2 linked regions of the Drosophila melanogaster genome follow. The protein of the gene in region 2 purifies or fractionates together with the protein of the main gene of each other region. This does not show direct contact. Each region holds a gene or a part of one and is shown on either strand. Other genes may lie near its edges.

The links. The genes of interacting proteins can lie anywhere in the genome.
Region 1: the proteins of nerfin-1 (region 2) and Cdep purify together in Drosophila melanogaster (affinity purification with mass spectrometry, with the first as the bait; one large-scale study listed by BioGRID). This does not show direct contact.

The regions. Positions count from the first base shown.
Region 1 is NT_033777.3:4,908,803-4,913,568, reverse strand, and holds the start of Cdep (Chondrocyte-derived ezrin-like domain containing protein), read right to left. Parts: upstream 3,018-4,766; 5' UTR 2,484-3,017; intron 1-2,483. Other genes in the region: Gnf1 (germ line transcription factor 1), read right to left, coding at 3,643-4,420, 4,479-4,766.
Region 2 is NT_037436.4:907,194-912,852, forward strand, and holds nerfin-1 (nervous fingers 1), read left to right. Parts: upstream 1-1,918; 5' UTR 1,919-2,104; coding exon 2,105-3,514; 3' UTR 3,515-5,126; downstream 5,127-5,659.

The sequences.
Region 1 (4,766 bases), on a different chromosome or scaffold from region 2:
ATTGCTACCATATTCTAAAGGAATCTTTCAAATAAATGCCATGTAAATGTTTATAGCACTACAAGAAGTAGCAAAGTAGTAAGAAAAAGTAAGAAGTAAGCAAAGTATTTCGTCGTTAACAAGCCTTCACGAAAGCAATAAAAAAAACTTTTGATTATTGATTATTTATTGCGAAGCACTGTTGGTGGTTTTGCCTGAGTCCACTGTACAGGGGATCAAGCACATTGACTGTGCTTAATTTATATTCAGCACATAACGGACGGGCCGTGACACCAGATACATTTCGATTTTCAGGCAGCTGAAAACGGAAATGGTAATGGTTTTATGCTTTGACCAAAACCAGAAAACCTGCTAACGAGTGTAAATCACTGGCGAGTAAACAAATTTCAATTAAATCGCCGAAAAACAAAGGAGAACAAGGGTGAACCGCGCATCAACGACCACCCTCATTTTGTTATATGTTCTCCGCTTTTGCTGGCTTACATGAAACAAAAAAAAAACACACTCAGAAAGCCAACAAAGCGAATTGAGATCGCAAATTAAATATTTATGTGGGCATAGGCTGGAAGTGGGCTTGCAACTTAATTTAGCCGGGCCAATGCGGCCATCAGCGGACTTTGTGTGTTGTATCTGTGTATCTCTGGGATTCAACGACAGATAGTCTCTCCAGAGTCCACTATTAACTCATTTTGTCTGCACGAATATCTCGTTCTCTTTTGGCCAACAAGCCAAGTCAAGTTGTTCTTGTCTCGGCCTATATTTATCCATTGCATCCGTGTAATGGCTTCGACATTGTCATAAGTGGAAAATATATTCCAACAGTTTACCCTACAAACTACGTACTGAATATGAAGAATATGCCTAGTTTTCTACACGGCAAACTTTTAGGCCGGGACTTTGATCCATCCTAAAAGAGCCCCAATGATGATGTCAGAAGGGCTGTTGACTAGCCAAAAACTCAACGACCAGCTTGCTAACAAACGGGTATTTTGACAGCTTCGGTTCCGCTCTCTTCAGTCAAGTGTGTTGTCGGCGTTGGCTTATCTGTGCCGCTAGCCCGCCCCAAGCGGTTCTCCCACACACACCGCGTTCTGCTGATAAGAAGCGGTGTAAACAGAGTGCTGCATATGTGTGGTGTACAGTGAAACCTCCTGTATGTCGAACTATACTATATTTTTACAGACAGACCTCGCATTCAACCAAAATATGAACAGAGGTCGTCTTACGCAAGAACAACTGTCTTTCACCCATGTACACCCATGGTGTATCTATTTCATTTCTGGCTATTGTTTTTGCAGTCTGGATAAAGATACTGAACCCGTTAGGGGTGCCCAGCTGTAACTGTGTTCCTTGTTCTGCCTTATCGCAAACCATTTATCGGAAGGTCTCTGATATCAGTTTCGGTCTTTTTGCGGAGTTTATTATTGAAGAGTTTCGTCACTATGCAAATAGAGATACGTCCCATGGCACAGAAAAATGCGCTGACCTCATGAGCCGATAAAAATGCAGGGTCCGCCGATGAGGCGGAAAATAACAAGAACTTGTCCACTGACAGACTTTCGAGTGAACGAAAGCGAAATCTATTGAAAAGTAAACATTCACACGCAGGACGATCGCAGCATAATGTGTCAGAGGGGGCGTGGGGAAGGGCGAGAAGTGGGTGGTGTTTCGATGGGGTGGAACGTCGAACAAATGCAATGACCTGAATATGGAGCGCTGTGTGCAGAGAAATGTGAAAAGGGCGATAAAAATGAGGCAGGATGCGGGTAAGATGAAAGGCGAAAGGCGAAAAAGCAAGGAAATTGTATTCAGCTTGAATATATTAATAGGTGGACAATGTGTACTTCGACTGGGAGCAAAATAAGCATTTCAGAGCCATTCTTCCTCTTTTCCCGTATAAAAAAAAAAAACGCTATCTTTACATCCAAATTGGATGTTATAGCATATCCTATCTTACAAGTGGCATCATAAGTTCTATCGAAATGTGATAAACCTAAAATCACATTCATATTCTTTACCGTTTTTATGACAAATGGCTTGTGGGCGAAAAATACATTATGAGTAAATCTCAATTTGCATGCTGCGTGAAAGGAGTATTGGCGACAGCTATGAGCTGGAAAATTCGTTTATTCGAATCCCTCATTCACAACACTCCCCCCACTTGACCCCTGGATGGATTCACACTCACTGCAATGACGTTTGGGCGAGTGCTGAAAGGTAAACATGTGTAGCCAAAACACGCAGCACGAAGCCCTCCGAAGGCAGGCAAAGTAACGGTACAAGGCGCGGCACCTGTTTACCGAGCGCAAGGGGAATGGGAAGGGGAGAGGAGCGCAAAACCCTGGCTCTCGGGCGTGAGCATGTATGCGTGAGCTGGGAGGCTGAGAGTGTCCTTGTGACTGGCCTGGCCTGGCCCAACAACAACAGCAATGGGGTGGGTGCTTGGGCAGGGGGTGTGGGAGGGAATCGGAGTCTGCACTTGCCTGCTCTATCGCGCGCTCGCTCTCGCTCTCGCGTTCGCTCGCCCAGCTCGGCAGCGTTGTATCTGTGTGTGTGCGCGGTTGAAGTCGTTGTGTGTGTGCTGGAATTTACGTGCTTATTGAATTTTCAGAGAGTTGCGCAAAAAACAAAAAAAAGCGGACGAGTTCGACGCTTTGAACTACAATTAATTTTAATTTGATTAAAAGCGCGACGCCAGGCTGGCTTCGCTCATTTATGGGTGTTGTTTTTCGCCGAGCTGCGCCCTTTACACGGATACACAGATACACACTCCCACACACACAGGCGCGCGTAAGCCGAGAATTTTCAGTGCGAAAAATATAGAACGCGAAACCCGTCGAACGTGGCAGGTATTCCCGGAAAATCAAGTGGATCGCGCACTCTGGCAGTTAATCGAATGCTTCGCTTGAATTTGCCCGCACATGCTGTCCCCTGACTTTTCTGGCAATTTTCACTGCATTTTCCGCTGCCCAGTACGTGCATCCGTTCGCGTTGACATCGGGGAAAAAACTCAGATACGATACTCTTTGGCGCTACCACGAGATAGCAGGGCTGCCGAAACATCGATTGCTGCATTATCGATTGTGCTTCGCAACATCATCGATTTGTTTCAGGCCAAAAACGTTATTATGTTATAATATATTTATAATAATTAATTAAGTATAAATTAAAGACTTAAATTAATTTTTAAATTGTAAACGTATTTTTCACAAATGTAAATGTACGATAGTACAAATTAGTTTAAATTATAGAGCATGGAGTGACCATCACTGATCGCGTTACCAACAATTTTTTTTAAATAAATTTGAGCTTGACATATTCGCGCTCTTGATCCTTATACAGTTAAAGCAAACAATTGATCAATTAAAAAATCATCATCTCAATTCTTTCGTAGTATTATTCATACAGACAATTATTTTATTACCAATTTTTCCCTTTTTAGTTTACACCTACGCCACTCAGTGTTATAATAAAATGTTTTGCAATTCAAGCACATATTTTATTGGTAAATATATATTTTCAGCAGTATAAACAGTGTCGGCCAGTGCCGGCCATTCATGAGATTTTAAACAAAAACTACTTACAAATGGGAAATTTGATGGCAAAAAAATCATCATATAATATAGGAAATCGTTAGTGCATTCACTTTTTGGCCTTGGCCTTAGACTTTGAAGCCGTGGAAGATGTAGCCTTTTTGGATCCACCAGACGCTTTTGACGTAGTTGTCCTCTTTTTGGCTTTGATCAAACTATCCAGCTCTAGGTTGTCCTTGTCCTCGTCTTCCTCTGATGATAAGTGGCCACCAGCTCCGTCCTCTTCGCCCGGACCCTCGTCCAAGTAATCGTCATCCGCTCCAGCAGCCTCTGATTTCTTCTTTTTGATGCCTGCTTGAGCGGAATAGGAGTATGCCATAACCTCCTTGTTGTAGGATCGCGTTAAAGCGGCTTTTACTCTCCCATCCACTGCGTCCAGTGGGGATTTCTTGCCGGGCCAGGATGTAAGCTCGACCAGCGAGTCCAGATCCTCACGGAGTAGATGGTAATCCTTCATAACGTCTAAAGCAGCGGGCACACCCTCCTGCCCATCCTTTGCAAGAGGTCGCACAATATTATCCAGAAGGAAGGGGGCGTAATCCAGCCTCACTGATAGCCTTGAGCCCGAGGTGCAGACCCTAGTATGATCATGCAGCTCCTGGGCCAGCCTGGCACGTTTTCCAGACTTGGAATTCTTGCCCAGCCACCCGGGAAAGTTAATCTGTCCAGTGAAGTGGCCACACATGTGCTCGCCAGGAAGGACCGAGCTGAAAAAGGCCTGAGTGGGTAGAAGACTCCAAGCAGAATTCGCACGAATACGCTTTTCAACAAGGTCACCCAAGCTTAGGGCATCTGCCGTAGCTGCCACCTTTGCCAGGACATCCTTTCTGCAAAGAGTGAAGTTGGTGAATGGGTACGCCCTTGGCTTAGGTAAACTAGACTTACTTGTTTCCCTGTGGTAGGACCTGCAGATAGTTTTGCTGCACAAAGAGCGGGGCCAGGCTGTAGTCGTGAAAGAAAAGGTCGCTCTTGTCGGCAAAAGACATGTGTTTGTGCTCGTCCGCGGTGAAGACTTTTCGCACCACCTCCCAGGGTCCCAGCTTCAGATCCTTGGTGGCAACCTGCTGCCCTGACTTTTGGGAAGCGTCTTCCTTGGCGCTCAGCAGGGCAATGTGGTTAATGGATTGCCGAATATCGTTGTTGGTAGCCGCTATGATTTCTTCCACTTTGGCC
Region 2 (5,659 bases):
AATCGAAACTTCTAGAGATTTAATAGACGACTTCCCCCTTAGAAGCAAGTGCGGAGATCGTATGCCATGGAAATATCAAAAGTGCACTCTGATCTGGTGGATGATGATAACCGCAGAGAAGCCTCTAAACAACGCGCACTAATCCGTTTCAATGGGCTTGTCTCAGATTAATCAATTTTCGTCCTTTTTGATGGCTTGATTTCCCGTTTCCTTTTTCGCTCACTTTAGTGAATCGCAAATAAGGCGGCATTTGTGACTGACAGGAATAAGTTGGCAAGGCATCACCGAGTCCTCCGGAGGGGAGGACTTTCGCCACCCGGCACGGGGATGGATTTTGAATCAGTGTATCTGCGATGCCTTTCAGGACCTTCGGATGGCAGCCATCGCGGCCGAAGGACGACAGGACCTTCAGGACAATGCTCGCGTGGCTGGCGCACTTCTGAGACTTTTGTCGCCGATTCACTCGATCCGAAGTTTGGCCCAGGATTTGGCCTCGGATGCGTGCGCTATTTTAATTCTAAGCTGCATGGCAAACATCGATTCCCCTGGCAAAAGGCCACCCTGCTGCGACAGGATCGCCTTGGGAATACTCTCTGCACTTTCAACCATGCACTGCGAGAAAATCAATATTAGTAGCGCATTCAATTCATTGTACAATGTGTATTATAGCATTCTGGCGGAGTTAATACATTCAATTGAATATAAAGCTGAAATCTTAGATCAACTATGCAATTTGGGGGTATTTTCTTTTAGTGCTCACATTGTCAGCCCGTTTTGGGGTGGCAATCGTTGCCATGCACGTGCCTACCGTAATACAAGAACAACAACAATGGCGGCGTGTTCAACATAATATGCCATATTTTCCAAGAGCGAGAGTCCTGCGAATCCTGCGACGAAAGCCCTCGACGGGAATCGAAAGTGCATTCCTTTCATGGCAACCACTGTCGACTCAGTCAGCTCAGTCGGCTTCGCATTTCGATTACATTAATGCAAAGCACTCACACGAACGATACACGTCCAGGATACTCGCACACAGATACAGCTACCGTTACAGCGACAAGGATACGAGGATAGAAGCGATTGTGCGCCATGCTCCGCGGTGGTGAAGTTCGAAGTTCGAATCCAAGTTGTGTCTGCTAGTCTGTTAGTCTGTTACCTACCCCACCAAAAGCGAACTTGACGAGCTTAGTCGTCTGAGGCTGATAAATGCAGTGCCGCAAAGTACACATCGCGAAATTTGTGTATGAGATGTATGAAAAATGTAAAAATAGATAGCAATCCGAACTATGCCCTATGTTGATGTACTTTCCAGCCGTTATTACTTGTTACATTGTTTACTTTTATAACCATCTTGGCCAACAGCTGTTTAGCACCAAATGCCAACAAAGAAACAATTCACCTTTTGGCCCAAGGATATTCCCGATCTATTGATGAACCTTATGGTTACATGCTCAATTAACGACTCCATGGGTGTCAGCTGTTTTTTTTGGCAAAAATAAGGACAATGTGCTGCTCAGATTTCCGCTGAATACACAAACATACATTCATATTTGCCTAGGAAGGTGCTGCGATTTTGGTGCGTGGCAATTTCGGGTACCGAAACAACAGCTGTCGCACATTGATTTCTCCGAGTGCATTGTCCTGGCCGCAAAACGGGAGACTGTGTGGTGTGTGTGTGTGCGTAGGACTTTCACTCCGTGTGTATGTGTGTGTGTGGAAAAAAGGGTGACTAATGTGTGTGTGATTGCTAACAAAAGATTCCGGCTTTTGCGGCTCTGCCGGCGTCGAAAAAGGACAACGACTTCGGCCGAAAAGGGGGTTGAAATGTATTTCCAGGACGCCGGCACAAACAATGATTTCGAGTTTCGGTTTCGCTTTCCTTTGGCCTGTGGTACACATAAATAGCCGCCACCGAGTCCACCGAACGTCATTCGCAGCACAAACGTCGAGCCGACTGGAGGTCTTCTGCATAGAGTCCCAGTCCGCGAGGATCAGCGTTATCAGTTTGTTGTTAAGTTTGCTTAGTTCCCGTTCTACGTTCCCCGTTCTACTCCGTTTTCGTTTTGCCTCGTTGAAGTTTTAAGTTGAAAGTCCCATCGATGCCATGGCCCAGATACAGACACCGATACCGATTCCAGCCCCCGCGGAGCCCATTGAAAAGCTCAGCCACCCGCACAGCATTGGCATCCAGTTGCAGCACAAGGGGATGCCCCATGGCCTGGGCCTGCTGACCACAGTGGCCTCGCTGCCCCCCAAGTACCGCAGTCGATATCTGAACCTGAAAACCAGGTGCGAAATACCGCTGGATCTAACGCTGAAGCTTCCCTCACCACTGCCCAGCAGCGATGTGCCCATGGCGGCCACATTCGCGGAGGTCTATAGCGAAAATACGAGTGCTAGTTCCAGCGAGGTGCAGGGGGAGGTGACCAAGGTGGAGGAGCTGCCGGTGAAGCCCCCAACACCACCGCAGAGTCCAGCAGGGAAGCGTAAATTGAGCCGGGAGAGCTATGACGACGAGCCGGCTAAAATGGCCAAAAAGGAGGAGGAGGTTCCGGTGGAAACAGTAGAATCCACACCAGCGAAACCCGTCAAAGTGGCAGAATCTGCGCCTAAAACCAACAAGGCCTCCACTTCCTCGGGAAAGCCCTCCCGCAATAAAGCCACCCGCAAGCTGAAGTTCGATGAGGAGACCAGTTCCCCCGTCTCGGGCACCGTCATCCGACCGCTCGAGGACATCACCGATGGATCGATGCAGTACAGCAACGGCGACATTGACCCCAAGTACAACATAGTCGAGATCACGGAGGAGACCAAGGCGGAACTGGCCGCCATCAAGAACGTGATCGGGGACTATGTCTGCCGACTGTGCAAGATCAAGTTCGAGGACGCCTTCGGCCTGGCCCGGCACAGGTGCGCCTGCATCGTCCTGCTGGAGTACCGGTGTCCCGAGTGCGGCAAGCAGTTCAATTGTCCTGCTAACTTGGCCTCCCATCGCCGGTGGCACAAGCCGAGGAAGGAGGCGTCTAAAAAGGAGAATCGCAATACCACCAACCAGCCGGAGAAACAGCAGCAGGTGGAGAAAAAGTCGGAGGAGGAACTGGCCTTCGATTGCCAGGAGTGCGGCAAGAAGTTTAAGAGAGCCGCCTACCTGAGGAAGCACCAGCTGACCCATCAGAAAAAGGAAAAGCCAGCGGAAAAACAGTTGGAAATGAAGCCCACCACCACAACTATCACAGGCAGTTTTCACTTTAACCAGGCGGTGTCCACCTCCTCCTCCGCCAGCAGTTCGCACTCCGATGAGGGAGTCTACGTGGTGGGATCGAATGCCAGGGAGAACTACGACTATGACAACGACTACCTCTCGGACTCCAGCTCCTCCGCCTCATCTGCGGGATACGGACGGCTTCAGATTGTGGAACATGGTCTCACGGAGGAGGAAAGCATTGCTGCCGCAGCTCTGACCAACTTGAGGAACTGCGCCTCCGTCATCCAACACACAACCATGGCCCACTGAAATCGAGTGAGATTTATTTTTAATGTTAAGTTTAGTTTCTAGTTGAACACCAAACCCGATGCAGCTGAAACAGACCAAAGAAATAGTTATATTCCACGGAAATTTCGTTTTCCACTTCGTATTCTTAGTTAGCTATAAAATTTAGTTCTTAACCGATTCAGTTTCGTTCGCAAAATGAGTTCAATTCTAGTTAGACTCTAGTTTGTATCCGTACTTCGGCCCACATTCCACACGGCAATTTAGTTGTAACTTAATTTCTAGTCAGTGAATCCAAAGAATCTTGGCACTAGTCAGCTTCAATACGATCTCGAAAAGAGTGTCTCTTGTGTACCACGAAGGCATTTCTATTAGTCTCTAGATTTAGCTAGTTTAGGAACTTTTGGGAGTGCAATGAACCTACAACGAAAGCCAAAGCAACCAACCAAAGATTTATAACTAATACTAGTCAGTCATATATCCATCTACTCCTTTGCTCCTACATCATCCCATGACATCATTCATCACCCATATCATCCTTCATTCTTCTTACTACTAATCATCCCATAGCTTTTCACACTTTCATACCAATTTCCTCATGACTCACTCTCATCCTGTATCATCTTTGCATTTTTTGCTAATCATTTTCCAGTTAATATTCTACCCTTAATTCAACCCTTTAACAACTTTTTCAATCTGGAAATTTCTCGTCATTCTAGTCACAAGTTCTTGCATTCCTTCTAGTCACTTAGGATAAATCATCTCTATAAGTCAGCTTCAGTTCGATCTTACTAAGTTTGTACAAACATATATCGTTCTTCAATTTCGGATACAGCTTTAGTCATATTCAGGTTATATACCGAAACCAAAATTCAGGCAAAATTGTGCAGTAATAGTGTTTAAGTTCGAATCAAACCAAAAAGCAAACCAAATCCTAGTTTAAAGCAAATTCAAGCCCAGTGTTTGTGAACCAAAGTCGAGTGTGAGCTCTAGTCATTTTAGCCACCTAATCAAGCGGAATCAGCTTGTTCTCAGTTTAGTTTAGTTAGTTAAGTTAGGCATAGAAACGGACATTGGACCAGCGTCTCACTACCAGTCAAAGTATTGAACAGTACAACCTAGCTATAAGGGCCACAGGCTTCAGAACCGGCGGTTGTGTACTTAAAGCAATAAAATAAGTAATCCCCGATATCGGGACAATATCACAGCGCTATTGTTCCTTAGCATCAGTATGTGTAAATTGGTTGTAACCGCAGAGTACAACGAAAAGGGAAACTTTCGCTCAATCTAGGAATTAACTAACTCTAAGCTATATCATACATGTAACCATATCGGTTGAGATTTTGTGATACTACAGTCTAAGCTTCAAGTTTACAAGAGAATCGTTGCGCTCGATTGTGCATTAACAATAAGCTAAGAGGAGACAGATCATTGAACCAAGTATTTTTATACGTAATATACACCATATATTTTTATACAAAAACAAACTCTTGAAGACCTTTTTTAATTATATGATGTCTAAGATGTAATCGACATATATTTATCGGAAACCAATATATTTTTATACAAAACCCAATCTTGGAAAACCCATAAAAATTGTAAATTATAAAAGCTCTTGAATAAAAACGCAAAACTGAAAATGAAAACTTCTTGTTGGGTTCTCTTTGGGTTGTCAGGGAAAACAAACCCCCAAATGATTGCTTTATAATTGCGGCGAGGTGGTCATATATCATCTATACGGGGGTTGTAAGACTGGTAACCAATAATGATGAGTGCTCTTGGGTGATTCCTTATAATCATGCCCAAATAACGGCGAACTGCAGTAATGAAATGCCATTAAGGGCCATTGACATGGTCCATCGATCTGGGACCGACTAAAACAAATACCAAAACACACTAACTGCCAAGGCGGAAAAGCGGAAGTGGACCATTGAATCGGACAGATGCATTTGGGCACTGGGCTAAGGACGAGGAAACTTGATGACGATGGGGTGGAATCCCAGGGTGTTTTCAACTCAGTCTCTGGTCGGTCCATAGTGAAACTCTAAACGGGCCAAACTAATGATGCTCTCAACGGAAACGCGTAAAAAATGTTTAATCAAATACAAATGCATGACAGCACGGAAAAAAGGCGAACAGGATATGCCAGGATATGCTAGGATAGTACGG